3 linked regions of the Pelodiscus sinensis genome follow. The protein of the gene in region 3 binds, or shares a complex with, the protein of the main gene of each other region. Links are inferred from orthologs where the notes say so. Each region holds a gene or a part of one and is shown on either strand. Other genes may lie near its edges. The genes, in order: AHI1, MKS1 and CC2D2A.

Region 1 (3,747 bases), on a different chromosome or scaffold from region 3:
TGGGGTGCTGCCGGGTTGGTCCTGCGGGGACCTACCCGGCAGTGCCCCAGCTATTCTGTCCCAGGAGTCCAGATTCAGCCGCTGTTGAAACTGATCAGCGGCTGATTCCAGGAAGCCGGGGGCAGATCAACTCTGCCTAGGGCTTCCTGTAGTCAGCCGCTGATCAGTTTCAGCAGCAGCTGAATCTGGAGCCAGTTCCGACTTACATACAAATTCAACTTAAGAACAAACCTATAGTCCCTATCTTGTACGTAACCCGGGGACTGCCTGTACTTGACTATTCAATTAACTGATATTTAACATCCCTAGTACAGTGGTTGGTTTTGCTCCTGACACTTTTATTTTAGCTGTCATGCAACAAAGATCATATCTGCAGTATGGTCGGAAGTAACACTGGGACACTGGTAAAAAAATTTCTGACAGGTGCAAAAGATAGTTTGCAAGGATCTGAATGTTGCCTCTAACAGCATGGAGAGAGATTCCATGATAGTTTCCACAGGCCACTTTATCCCCTTTCTTAAAAAGGGTAACAATCAAGGTGTCCCTCATTTCACTTGCTATCCTGATTTTCAGGATAAGCAAGCTTAGCTGCTGAATTTACTCTGGTCCACTATCTTTAAAGTTGTCAGCAGGGATCCCATCTGGACCTGCTGTCTTGTTGTTCTTCATCTGCTTAATGGCACTGTATATCTCATGCAAATTGGGAGAGTCTCCAAGCTCATTCCTAGGTCTTTGAGGGATTTGCCCAAGAACTTCATCTGCAACCATGAAATTACGATTAAGACCTTCAAAATGTTTTCTCCACCAAAAATTAATGGTTTAATTGTCCTTTGAAAGTGGGGATGTGAATTCACATCCAGTAGGAATGTGGATGGTTAACCGGCTAACAGGTAAGCCTCACCCATTTGCTACACTTAACTGGTTGAAGCGGGAGGCCCCCTCCATGTAATCGGTTAACTGGTTAAACAATTATTATAACTTGTTAACTAATTAAATGGGACTTTATATCCCTACCACCCAGTTAGTGGTCTTTAGAGGACCTCACTATTAACTTTCCACCTTTCTGAAAACTGACCATTTATTCCTATCCTTTCCCCCCTATCTTTTAACTAGTTACTGATTCAGGACAAGACCTTCCTTTTTATCCCATGACTGGTTATTTTGTTCAAGCACCATTGGTGAGGGAGCCCAAATACACTATATCCACCAGATCACCTTTGTCCATGTTTGTTGATCCCCCCTCTCCTCCCCACATCTCTCCTTCAAATAATTCTAACAGATTGGCAAGACGTGATTTTCCTTGATAAAAGCCATGTTGATTCTTCTTCAAACCGTGTTCACCGATGTGTCTCATAATTCAGTTCTGTATTAGTTTCAACTACTTTGCCCTGTACTGTAACAGCCAGGACCATCTCCAGAGCCTTATTAAAACATTGGCTCTGCAGCATAATCTGCGTTGCCAGCCATTCATTCACTGGAAATTATCTGGGGCCAGGAGAACAGCTCTGGACAGCCCAGCCTCATGCCCCACAGCCCAGGTTATGGGGGTGGCGCCAGCAATGGACATCCGGTATGTAAGGCAGGGGAAGGCTTTACCTTCTCAAACCACCAGGCTTGACCCCACCTACACTCGGCTCCCAGAACGTCTACGCTAGGACTTCTGGGGGTGGAGCGCTGCTGCCCCTATCGACACCCTCCCTGCAGCACTCCACAGCTAGGGGAGACAAGGGCGAGCAGCCACCCCCTCCCCATGGCTGGGCTGCCCCACCTCCCCATGTGGGCAGGGAAAGGGCAGGGCCTCAGCAGAAGGGGCGGGGCTGCAGGTGGGGTGGGGGCTTGTCTCCCCAAGTCCTCCCCCCCTTCACCAGCTACCCACGGTGCCAGGCATCCCTACGCTGAACAAACGCGCCTCCACGGAGTCCTGCCCCAGGACTGGGAAAGCGCAGGGCCCAGGGGAGGCAGCAAAGTGCGAGCGCTGCCCTAGCCCGCGGGAGTCGCTGCACCCCCCCATCCGGGCTCATCCCGGGTGCCTCGGCCAGCAGCGCCCGGCCAGCGCCTCCCGCCGCCAGGGACGCGGGTGCAGTTGCGAGGATCGGGGCCGAGCTCGGGCGTGGGGACGCGTCCAGGGTGGAGACCCAGTTTTCCGCCCCCTCCCACTTTCCCTCCCCGCCAGCGCGCGCAGGGCAGCGGCTCTCACTCACTTCGGCCGGGCTTCTTGCACCGTCTCTAGTTAGGAGTGGCGCGGCGGGTCCCTTCTCCATCCCCCCCCGCCGCCACTTGGTTTCTCCCTCATCCCCCTCCGCCGCCTCGCGCGCTATAGTTTCGCCGACAACAAACAACAGCGTCAGCTGCCAAGGAAACAACGCCTGGCAAACTGCGCCTGCGCTGACAGCGGGACGCGACGTGTTGAATGATCGCTTTACACGCCGGGAAGGAAATAGGGGAACGCACATCCGGGACTTCTTCGGAGGTCACTCTCCCCTCCCGCCCCCCACCAAAAATGCAACGGAAACACACGCGTCACTGCTGAGTCCTGAAGACGGCACGAACACGCGCTACTTAAAATTAAGGGAGGCCGTTGCGGGAGGGAGGGGCAAGGCGCATGCGCTTGAGACTGAGGCAGGGGAAGGAGTTGGGCGAGACGTGGCGCGCGCGCGCAAGAAGTGGGGCGTTCTGATGCCAGCGTGCAGGGCGCCGAGATGGTTTCGCCCCGTGCGCCAGGCTAAGGGCCCTGCCGCCGGTTCTGGCCTTGGCACGGGTCGAGTTCGAGGCCGCCCGCGCTGGCTGAGTGAAGGGAGGGGCCGGGCGTTCTGGGCCTGCCCCAAGCCTAGTAAGCGACGGGAGGGCTCCTGCTGAAACCAGCGGGCCCGTTGCCCGGCCCTTCCCTGCTGCCATGGCGCCCTGCCCGGGGGTCTGGTCAGTTTCACTCGCGCGCTCCCTGCAATAGAGCCCGCCACCTGGCTTAGGAGTGGAGAACTGGCCCCTCAGCCGCGGGCGCCAGAGACCCCTCCTTAAAGTTAGACCCCTTGGATTTCAAACTTGAGGTCACTTGAAAGCGGCATGTCCTGCTCCCAGAGGCAGTTCTTAAACGCAAGGAGATTTTGAGCTGCTCGCAGCTTTGCCTTTGGGGCAGGGAGTTTGTTATAAAAAGAAGGGAGGCAGGTGCTTAAGCATAAGGCTGGGCCTTCCAGTAATTAAGCTCATTAGATCTTCATGAAAACATGGCCAGGCACTCTACAGGTAGTCCCCAACTCACTAACGAGTTAAGCACCAAGCACTTGGTCGTAAAGACGTGTTCATAAGTTGGACCCCATTCATTTCAATGGGACCGTGCTGTTCGTAAGCGTGGATTGCTGTTTGTAAATCGGGGCCGTGCTTAATGGGAAGTTGGTTGTGAGTGCAGCGGGTCGTACGTCGCTGTGTTTGTAAGTTGGGGACTAGTACTTAAAAGATAGGAGAAAAGAAAAGAGGAGGAATGTGAATGACTAGCTAACAGGCTAATTGACTAGTTACTCCCCCCCCCCCCCCTGCCTCTATGAGAAAGAGGCAGTAACGGGGGAAAGAGGAGGAGGTGCTTCAAAGCAGCAGTGGAAGGGGCCCCTCACTTTCCCCTGCTAACCCTGGGCTCCCTGTAGCATTGCTGCTTTGAAACACCACTGGGAGCATGGGGCTAGCAGGAAACTACTGGCACTGTGGGGGGTGTTGCTACACTTCAAAGGCAAGACACCCATATTGGCTAATCAAATA
Region 2 (3,747 bases), on a different chromosome or scaffold from region 3:
TTTTCCCATTAAAAATAATGGAAAAGGTGGGGGTTGCATTTCAGATGGCAATGGCAAAGTCAGTTTTTTGTTGGTGTTAGATCTCTAGCAACACAAGTCACTGCAGTTTGTTAAAACACAAAGATAATCACGAGTGAAGGGAGGAGCACTGTGACCATGTGTACTCATCTGCTCATGCATATTACCACTGTTTTCACAAACTTATACCGCCACATAAAGTAGTCTGCCACTTGATTATTTTTGTGTTATTTTGGGAATGGTTGTGTTATTCGAAAAACATTCCCTAAAAAAAAAATCATGCTATTGCAAAAACGTATTAAGCGGCACATGTTAAATGAGTAATTACTGTAACTGTGGTTCTGGGAGACATCATGCAGATGTGTGTTCCAGCGACCCACCCTCCATTTCCTTTGCATCAGTTTGTTCTTCAGTGCAAAAGAACTGAGAGGGTTGGGACAGTACCACTTCATATAGCCATGGTCCAGGCTATAGCCACAAGATGCAAATTCTCCTGCTCTTGAGCAGATGACATCTGAGCGCTTGTGTCCGTTTGGTTCTCTAGCCAGGACTGTCTCATACAAAGCTTTGCTAGTGAACAACCACCACATAGTCACGCCCAGCTGTATTGGTGAATATTATGCCCAGCCACGCAAAAATCGATGCTGGGTACATGTTCTAGGTCCAGCCTTGCACCCCGGTCCATCCCGTCACTGAACAGAGCAAACGCACAAACGCATTTCTTTGGAAAGGAAATAACCAAGCCAAAGCATTTGTGAGCGCATGGGGATGTCCCACGGCGCTGGTTCGGACACGAGTCTCAGGAGAGAACCTGCAGCTCTCGGGAGTCCGCAGAGCTGGAAAGCCAGGCCGGCCCCCTCCCCGCCCCGCCCCCCAAGGGGGGTCCTTGTCTTTTGACCTAGTGTGCGTCTACTGTGGGGCAAGCGACGTGCCTGTTCCCTGGCTGCCGGGCAAGCCCCCGTCGCAGGCTCTGCGCAGAGCCCGCACCCCTCCCCCCCCGACCCAGCACACCCCCCCGGCCCCCGCAGAGCCCGCACCCCCCCCCGGCCAGGGGAGACGGGCCGCGCATGCTCAGCAGAGGCCCCGCCCATCTCCATGGGGCGCGGACGCGCTTTCGGGCCGGGCCATGGCGGAGCCGTGCTGGAGCGCGGAGGCGGGGGGGGCGGTGTATCGCTCCCGGGACCCCGTGCGGGGCCTGCGCGTCCGGTCAGGGCCCGCGGGGTGTTCCGGGGGGGCGGGGTGTCGTGGGGGGGGCAGGGAGTGTGGGGTGTCGGGGGGTGTGGTGTCGGGGGGGGCGGGGAGTGTGGGGTGTCGGGGGAGGGGTGTGGGGTGTCGTGGGGGGGCAGGGAGTGTGGGGTGTCGGGGGGTGGGGTGTCGGGGGGGGGGCGGGGAGTGTGGGGTGTCGGGGAGTGTGGGGTGTCCCATGGAGGGTACCTGGGCCCCTTTGGGGCGTTGTTGTGGCACAGCAGGCTGGGGTGCCTGGGGAGGGCCCAGGCAAGCGGCCCCTGGCGCCTTCCTCCCTCCCCTGCCCTGGGCAGCCTGCTGACTCCAGCCTGGTGCTCCTCCCTGCCCAGGGTGCATGTCCAGCATGTCACTTCCACCAGCCTGCTCCTGCAGCAGCTCCAGCAGCCCTCTAGCCAGCAGCAGGGGAAGGATCTCATCAGCCTGGCCACCTTCAGCTCCCATCCAGCAACAAGTAGGTGGTTCATGGCTGGTGTCGGATGGGGACCCATCTCTCCTGTGCAAGGCCTCACAATGGCTTCTGCCACTTGGCCGAAGCCCCACTGCACAGGTCGCAGGCAGGGAGAGATGCCGGACTTGCAGCAATCTCAGTGGAGGGGAGATGGCATTTTTACACCTTTCAACCCCACAGAGTACAGGACAGCCTCAGCTTCTCTGGGCTACCTCATATGAAGACCTGTCCTACCTGTGGATGGAACAGGTGCCCCGTTTCTCCCCCTGGATATTCTGATAGTGGTAGGAAGTGCCTCCTTTTCCCAGCCAGGGAGCAACTGGTGAGACAGGGATTTAATACCTGTGGTAGGATAAGGTGTCAGAGTGGGTGCATCTTTGCTAGGGAAAAGGTGTGCCTTGACCTCGTTAGCAACTACAAGGTCAAATCCTAGTGAGGACAAGCCACTTGGTAGTTTTTACATGTTAGCACCTCAGAGTAAAGTCTTGCAAAATACTTGGCTCAATTTGCTAATACATGTGCTGACCGCAGACTTTGGGATTTGATCTTTTTAGTTATCAACTGTTAGTTAATTTGCAATGAGAACACATCTTTTTCTTAGTGAAGAAGCACCTTCCAATTCTTGTTTCTTTTTCTTGGTGCATCATGTTGAAGAAGGAAATTCCACCCTCTTTGACCTTAGGCATTTGTATTGCCAATTGAGCATTATACCTAGTTGCAAAACAGGCTTCCAGGGCTATTCCACTCACAGGGCTCATTGTCTTTTCTCTTGCTGAAAAGTGAGACTGGCTGTGAGCAGAAGAACATAAAAATAGTAACATTGCATCATATCAATGATCCATTTATCCCCATATCTTGTCTTCTAACAGCAGCTGGTACCAGGGGCCCCAGAAGGAATGAACTGAAGAGGCAATCATTAAGTGATTCTTCCCGTCACTTATTCCCAGCTTTTGGGAATCAGAAGCTAGTGATATCCAGAGCATAAGGGTGCATTCCTGATCATCTTGGTTTATAGCCATAGATAACGTTAGCCCCCATGAACTAACAGTGGATATTTCCAGAAAGCCTTTGACAATTTCCCTCACCAAAGGCTCTTAAGTAAAGTAAGTTGTCATGGGATAAGAGGAAAGGTCCTTTCATGGATTGATAACTGGATAAAAGACAGGAACCAAAGGGTAGGAATAAATGATAAGTTTTCAGAGTGGAGAGAGGTAACTAGTGGGGTCCCTCAAGGGTCTATCCTGGAACCAATCCTGTTCAACGTGGAGGGAAGAAGCACATGTGTGAAGAAGTGACCAGCCCCCTATTGTCTTTCAGGTGGCTATCGTGCCGACGATGAGGAAGAGGAGGCCGTGATTGGCTGGCAAGATAAACTCTTCAGCCAGGTGAATAAGCAGAAGGCTGGAAGTGACCCCTCAAGTGGCAGATAGTACTCAGAATAGTATAGTGGATAGTGTGTGTCCAGTGCAAGGGGACTTGGCTTCATCTCCAGGTCCCAGAGCAGAATGGAGGGCCTGTTCCTCTGGCTCACAGTTAGAGATATACGTGCTGCTGCAGTTCAATATGGTTTATATTCTCTAGCCTCTCATGGCCACTGCAGCCTCTAAACTCCACTAGGAGAAAATGGAACATGTTTCTGATTTAGAATTATCCCAACTGCTTGCCTGTGCCATCTTGTCCATGTCTGTAGGGGATGAGTGGAGGGTACTCATTAAACAAGAATGATTAAAGGTCTAGGGTACATGAGCTGTAAAGGAAGACTGAAAGAATTGGGCTTGTTTAGTTTGGAAAAGAAAAGATTAAGAGGGGACATGATAGTGGTTTTCAGGTATCTAAAAGGGTGTCAGAAGGAGGAGGGAGAAAACTTGTTCTTCCTGGTCTCTGAGGATAGAACAAGAGGCAGTGAGCTTAAACTGCAGCAAGGGAGGTTTAGGTTGGACATTAGGAAAAAGTTACTGTCAGGGCGGTTAAACACGAATAAATTACATAGGGAGGTTGTGGAATCTCCATCTCTGGGGATATTTAAGAGTAGGTTA
Region 3 (3,747 bases):
TCCTACCCCTGGCATGAACCCAGTCCTGTATCCAAGCCCTTATCATTGCTCTGAGCACCCATGCATCCAAATACCCTGCCAAAGCCTGCACCTAGAACTCCACAGTAAATGCATGCTCCAAGAGCTGATCAGAGCCCTTCTCACACTCCAGATCCCTTAAGCAAAGACCAGAGCATGTGCACCCAACCGTCTGTCCCAGGCTGATGAAAGAGACTGAGGATGGGCAAGAGAGGGAGGATAGAGGGAGCAGGATCTGGGACTTGGAGAAGGGGTAAGAAGGAAGCGGGAAAAGGGTATTTATATATAAGGTACATATTGGATTGCACTTTCAAAATGTTGGAGCCCCCTGCTCTGAGTTCTCTGACCCATGTCCCCATTGACTACGGGAGGAATCACTAAAATTTCACTTGGCCATGTTGGCGAGGAGTCCTGTGGCACCTTATAGACGAACTGAAGATAGTGCCACAGGACTCCTCAACGATTCTTCATATTCAGACTAACACAGCTACCCCTCCGATACTTGCCCATGTTTGGTGATGAGGATCTGGGACGGAGTTTGGGTGCATGAGGGGTGCTTGCTAGGGGGAGTTTGGGGGACAGGTGTGGGATCTGCCATGGGTCAGGGGATTGCAGTACAGGTGAGGGTGTGGATGGGAGGGACTTTAGCATATCAGCATAGTACACAAGAGAAAGGAGATGCAGTGACTTCTGATAGAGAAACAAAGAGAAAACTATTAAATACTAAAAAAGTGAGAGGCAGAGTTTGAGACAGGAACTGTATGTAGAATATTTCACACTTGTACATATACAGAGGAACGGTGGTGTCTAAGCATTGACCGTCTAGGAATTGGGAGGCCTGTGCCTTTAAGAACTCAAGCCCAGGAGCCCGCCCCCTGCTCGGGGGCTGACAGGCAGCGTCCAGGGAAAATAAAGAAAAAAAAAGACTTTGCCCCTGGAAAACTGATATTTTCAAGGACATCAGGTGGCTTGTCCTGCTGGATGACTGTTCCCACCTCTCCCCCTCCCTAAACGGGGGTTTTCTCCGTGCACAGGGTCTGGCAGTGTCCCCCAGCCCGGGGTTAACCAAGGCTACCACCCCCCACCCCCCTGATTTTTCAAATTTTGCCCCTCTTCTGCAGCTAAAAAAAGAAGATTGATGCCTCCAGCCGGTAAATTTCTGCCCCATGCTCAGAACCAGACACTACCCCCCCTGCAATTTGCCCCCCTTCATCATTTTAAACACCTCCGAAGAGGAGGAAGCAAATCTGAGGAGGCAGTGAGGGCAGAGAGTGGGCAGCGGCTACAGCGAGGGACACTGAGTTTGCTCAGTTCGGGTGCGCATGCTCAGTGCACCCAAAGTAGCAAATTCTGAGAAGTTAGTGTTTTGCTCGCTACACCGGCGCCGCCCCAGTCCCGGAGCTGCCCCAGCAGGCTCCTCCCCCACCCCAAGAAAAGTGGGAGCTGGAGGCGCGGCCACAGCGGCGTCGGAAGCTCGTAGGCAAGGGGTGGAGGCTGCGGCCCGGGAATCCCCCCCGATCACTCAGACACTTACTGCGCGGTGTCCGGGCGCTGGCAGCAGGCGCCGCCATCCCGGCCGGGTCCTCCTCCTCCTCCTCCGCCAGCGAAACAGCGGGACCAACGGCCTCCAGCAGCTGGGGGGGGAGGAGGGGAAAGGAACCGCACGTCAGGGGGCGCTGCACAGCGCGAAGGGCCCCTCCCCGTCACCCGGATGTGCTCCGCGCCCGCCCTGGTCACCGCTCTGCGAGTCCACCGTCCCGCTCCCGCCAGGCAAAGCTCTCTGCGCGGTGCCTAGCAACCCGCCGCCCGCGCTCGCGCGCATGCGCGGCAGGTCTGCTGGCCCTCCGGAGAGGAAGCTGCCGCGGCAACCGACTGCGCGAACGTGAAAGGGTCGCCCCGCCCCCGAACTCACGGGCTGCTTTCTTCCCCGCCTCTGAGCCGTCAGCGTCTGCCTCAGCTGCGCCCCGTGGGCCGGCGCCTCCCGCCCGCCGCGGGAGGGAAAGGCACAGGGGTTAGCCCGCCGTGGGGCTCGGCGGGTGCCGCCAGTGGAGCCCCGCCCTCGTGTTGGGCATCGTCCCACGCAGGGGCGCTAAGCGCGGTGGGAGCTGGGCCCCAGCTCTGCCGGGCGTCGTCTAGTTAACGCGGCTGCTTATCGGCCGGGCCTCGGCTAACTTGCGCTCGGCACTGGGCTCGCGCCTGCAGCTTATCTGCGGGGCCGGCTACCCTCGTGCCGACTCCATGGCATGGAAACCTGCAAACTTCACAGCTCCTCGGGGGCTGCGACATAGAACCGTTAGCTCCGAGTAAAACAACCCTTCGTCACTTCAAGAACAGTTTCACAGTTTTTGAAAACTTGGTGTCGTAACTAACTCACATGATCACAAAGATTGTGCATTTATTTCATATTGCCTATAATTAAAGTGGACTTGTATATAACGTGCATATGGCCATTCCAGTTGCCTTCCATTTAACCTGTCTATGGTACTTGTCTGTCCTTAGATTTTGAACTCAGAGGCAGGACTGTCCTTTTTTGAGTATTTGGAAAATGCCCCCTACACAGCAAGCACTACAATAATTACTAATGTAATATAAAAAGCATCTTATGCTCAATGATTTAGGAATAACATTAAAAACTAGTGTTTGTTAAATATAGTGCATTGTATTATGTTTGATTGATTTGCACAGAAATACATTTTTTCTTAATAGCCACATATAATCCCTATCAATTATAATGAGTCACTTGCATTTACCCAAAGGACAATTAACTCCTATATTACGAAATCTGTATATTACTATTTAGTAACTAGCAAAAGTGTGATATGAACAAAACCCTATCATACTTTTTAGAAAGAAAGAAATGCCCCATAATCCATCTATGCATTTACTGTAACTAATCAGACTAACCTCCATAGCCATAATCTGGGATTCTTCATTGAAATTCATGTTTGCAGCAATTGATACCTGCCTGTAATACAAAAATTATTAAAATCAGATGTACACATTAATGCACAAGCACTCATCATGCAACAGACTTCACAAAGGAATACCTCTGCATCCAGTGGACCCTATTAACTTAGAAGTAACGTTAAAAATATTTAACACTTGAAAAAAACAGTTTTATGGTTTTGAAAACGGAATAATTTCCTGCTATTTGTAGCCAGGACATATGATCTTCAGAATATATCTACAAGGTTTTTTTTATAATTCCCTATAAAAGTGAATCAAGTCGACAAATATAAATTGTGTATGAGTTACCCATTATTGTAAAGCATCTACAAACTGTCCATGATTGGTCCATATACAGTTTATTGCAAGAATGGTGTTCCTTCTCACTTTTAGCTGGTTCATTCTTGCCAAATCTGAAATTTACAGATGTTCCTAAAGCTTTGTCTGCATGATGAAGTTAGTGATTTAATTCAAACTGTTCAGAAAATGATTCAGCCTATATAGGTACACCCTCCATGATTTGTAACTGCTACCTTGATTTAAGAGCTCTGATATCTATTTAGTTTATGTCAGTAAGGAATCAATTTCAAATAAATCTGTTTAAGGCACTCTTAAATCCAAATGAGAGCTCAGGTTACACGGTTGCAAGCTGTATGTACCCTGTTGGATCTCTGCATAAACCTCAACTCCAGATAAGGGATAAATTCCCTCCCTAGTACCTCAGGCTGTGTCCAGACTCAGGGGTTTTTTCGAAAAAAGTAGCCTTTTTTCGAAAAAACCTCA

The links.
Region 1: CC2D2A (region 3) and AHI1 share a complex: the UniProt entries of both Homo sapiens proteins name them as parts of the tectonic-like complex. The link is inferred for Pelodiscus sinensis from reciprocal best matches to the Homo sapiens genes CC2D2A and AHI1.
Region 2: CC2D2A (region 3) and MKS1 share a complex: the UniProt entries of both Homo sapiens proteins name them as parts of the tectonic-like complex. The link is inferred for Pelodiscus sinensis from reciprocal best matches to the Homo sapiens genes CC2D2A and MKS1.

What each region holds. Positions count from the first base shown.
Region 1 is NC_134713.1:96,669,335-96,673,081, forward strand, and holds the start of AHI1 (jouberin), read right to left. Parts: upstream 2,392-3,747; 5' UTR 2,202-2,391; intron 1-2,201. UniProt on the Homo sapiens protein: Involved in vesicle trafficking and required for ciliogenesis, formation of primary non-motile cilium, and recruitment of RAB8A to the basal body of primary cilium.
Region 2 is NC_134731.1:16,308,398-16,312,144, reverse strand, and holds the start of MKS1 (tectonic-like complex member MKS1), read left to right. Parts: upstream 1-1,066; 5' UTR 1,067-1,085; coding exon of another isoform or gene 1,086-1,144; coding exon 1,145-1,224; intron 1,225-1,592; coding exon 1,593-1,714; intron 1,715-3,028; coding exon 3,029-3,096; intron 3,097-3,747. UniProt on the Homo sapiens protein: Component of the tectonic-like complex, a complex localized at the transition zone of primary cilia and acting as a barrier that prevents diffusion of transmembrane proteins between the cilia and plasma membranes.
Region 3 is NC_134715.1:107,494,319-107,498,065, forward strand, and holds the start of CC2D2A (coiled-coil and C2 domain-containing protein 2A), read right to left. Parts: upstream 2,329-3,747; 5' UTR 1,931-2,328; intron 1,881-1,930; exon of another isoform or gene 1,653-1,880; 5' UTR 1,590-1,652; coding exon 1,553-1,589; intron 1-1,552. UniProt on the Homo sapiens protein: Component of the tectonic-like complex, a complex localized at the transition zone of primary cilia and acting as a barrier that prevents diffusion of transmembrane proteins between the cilia and plasma membranes.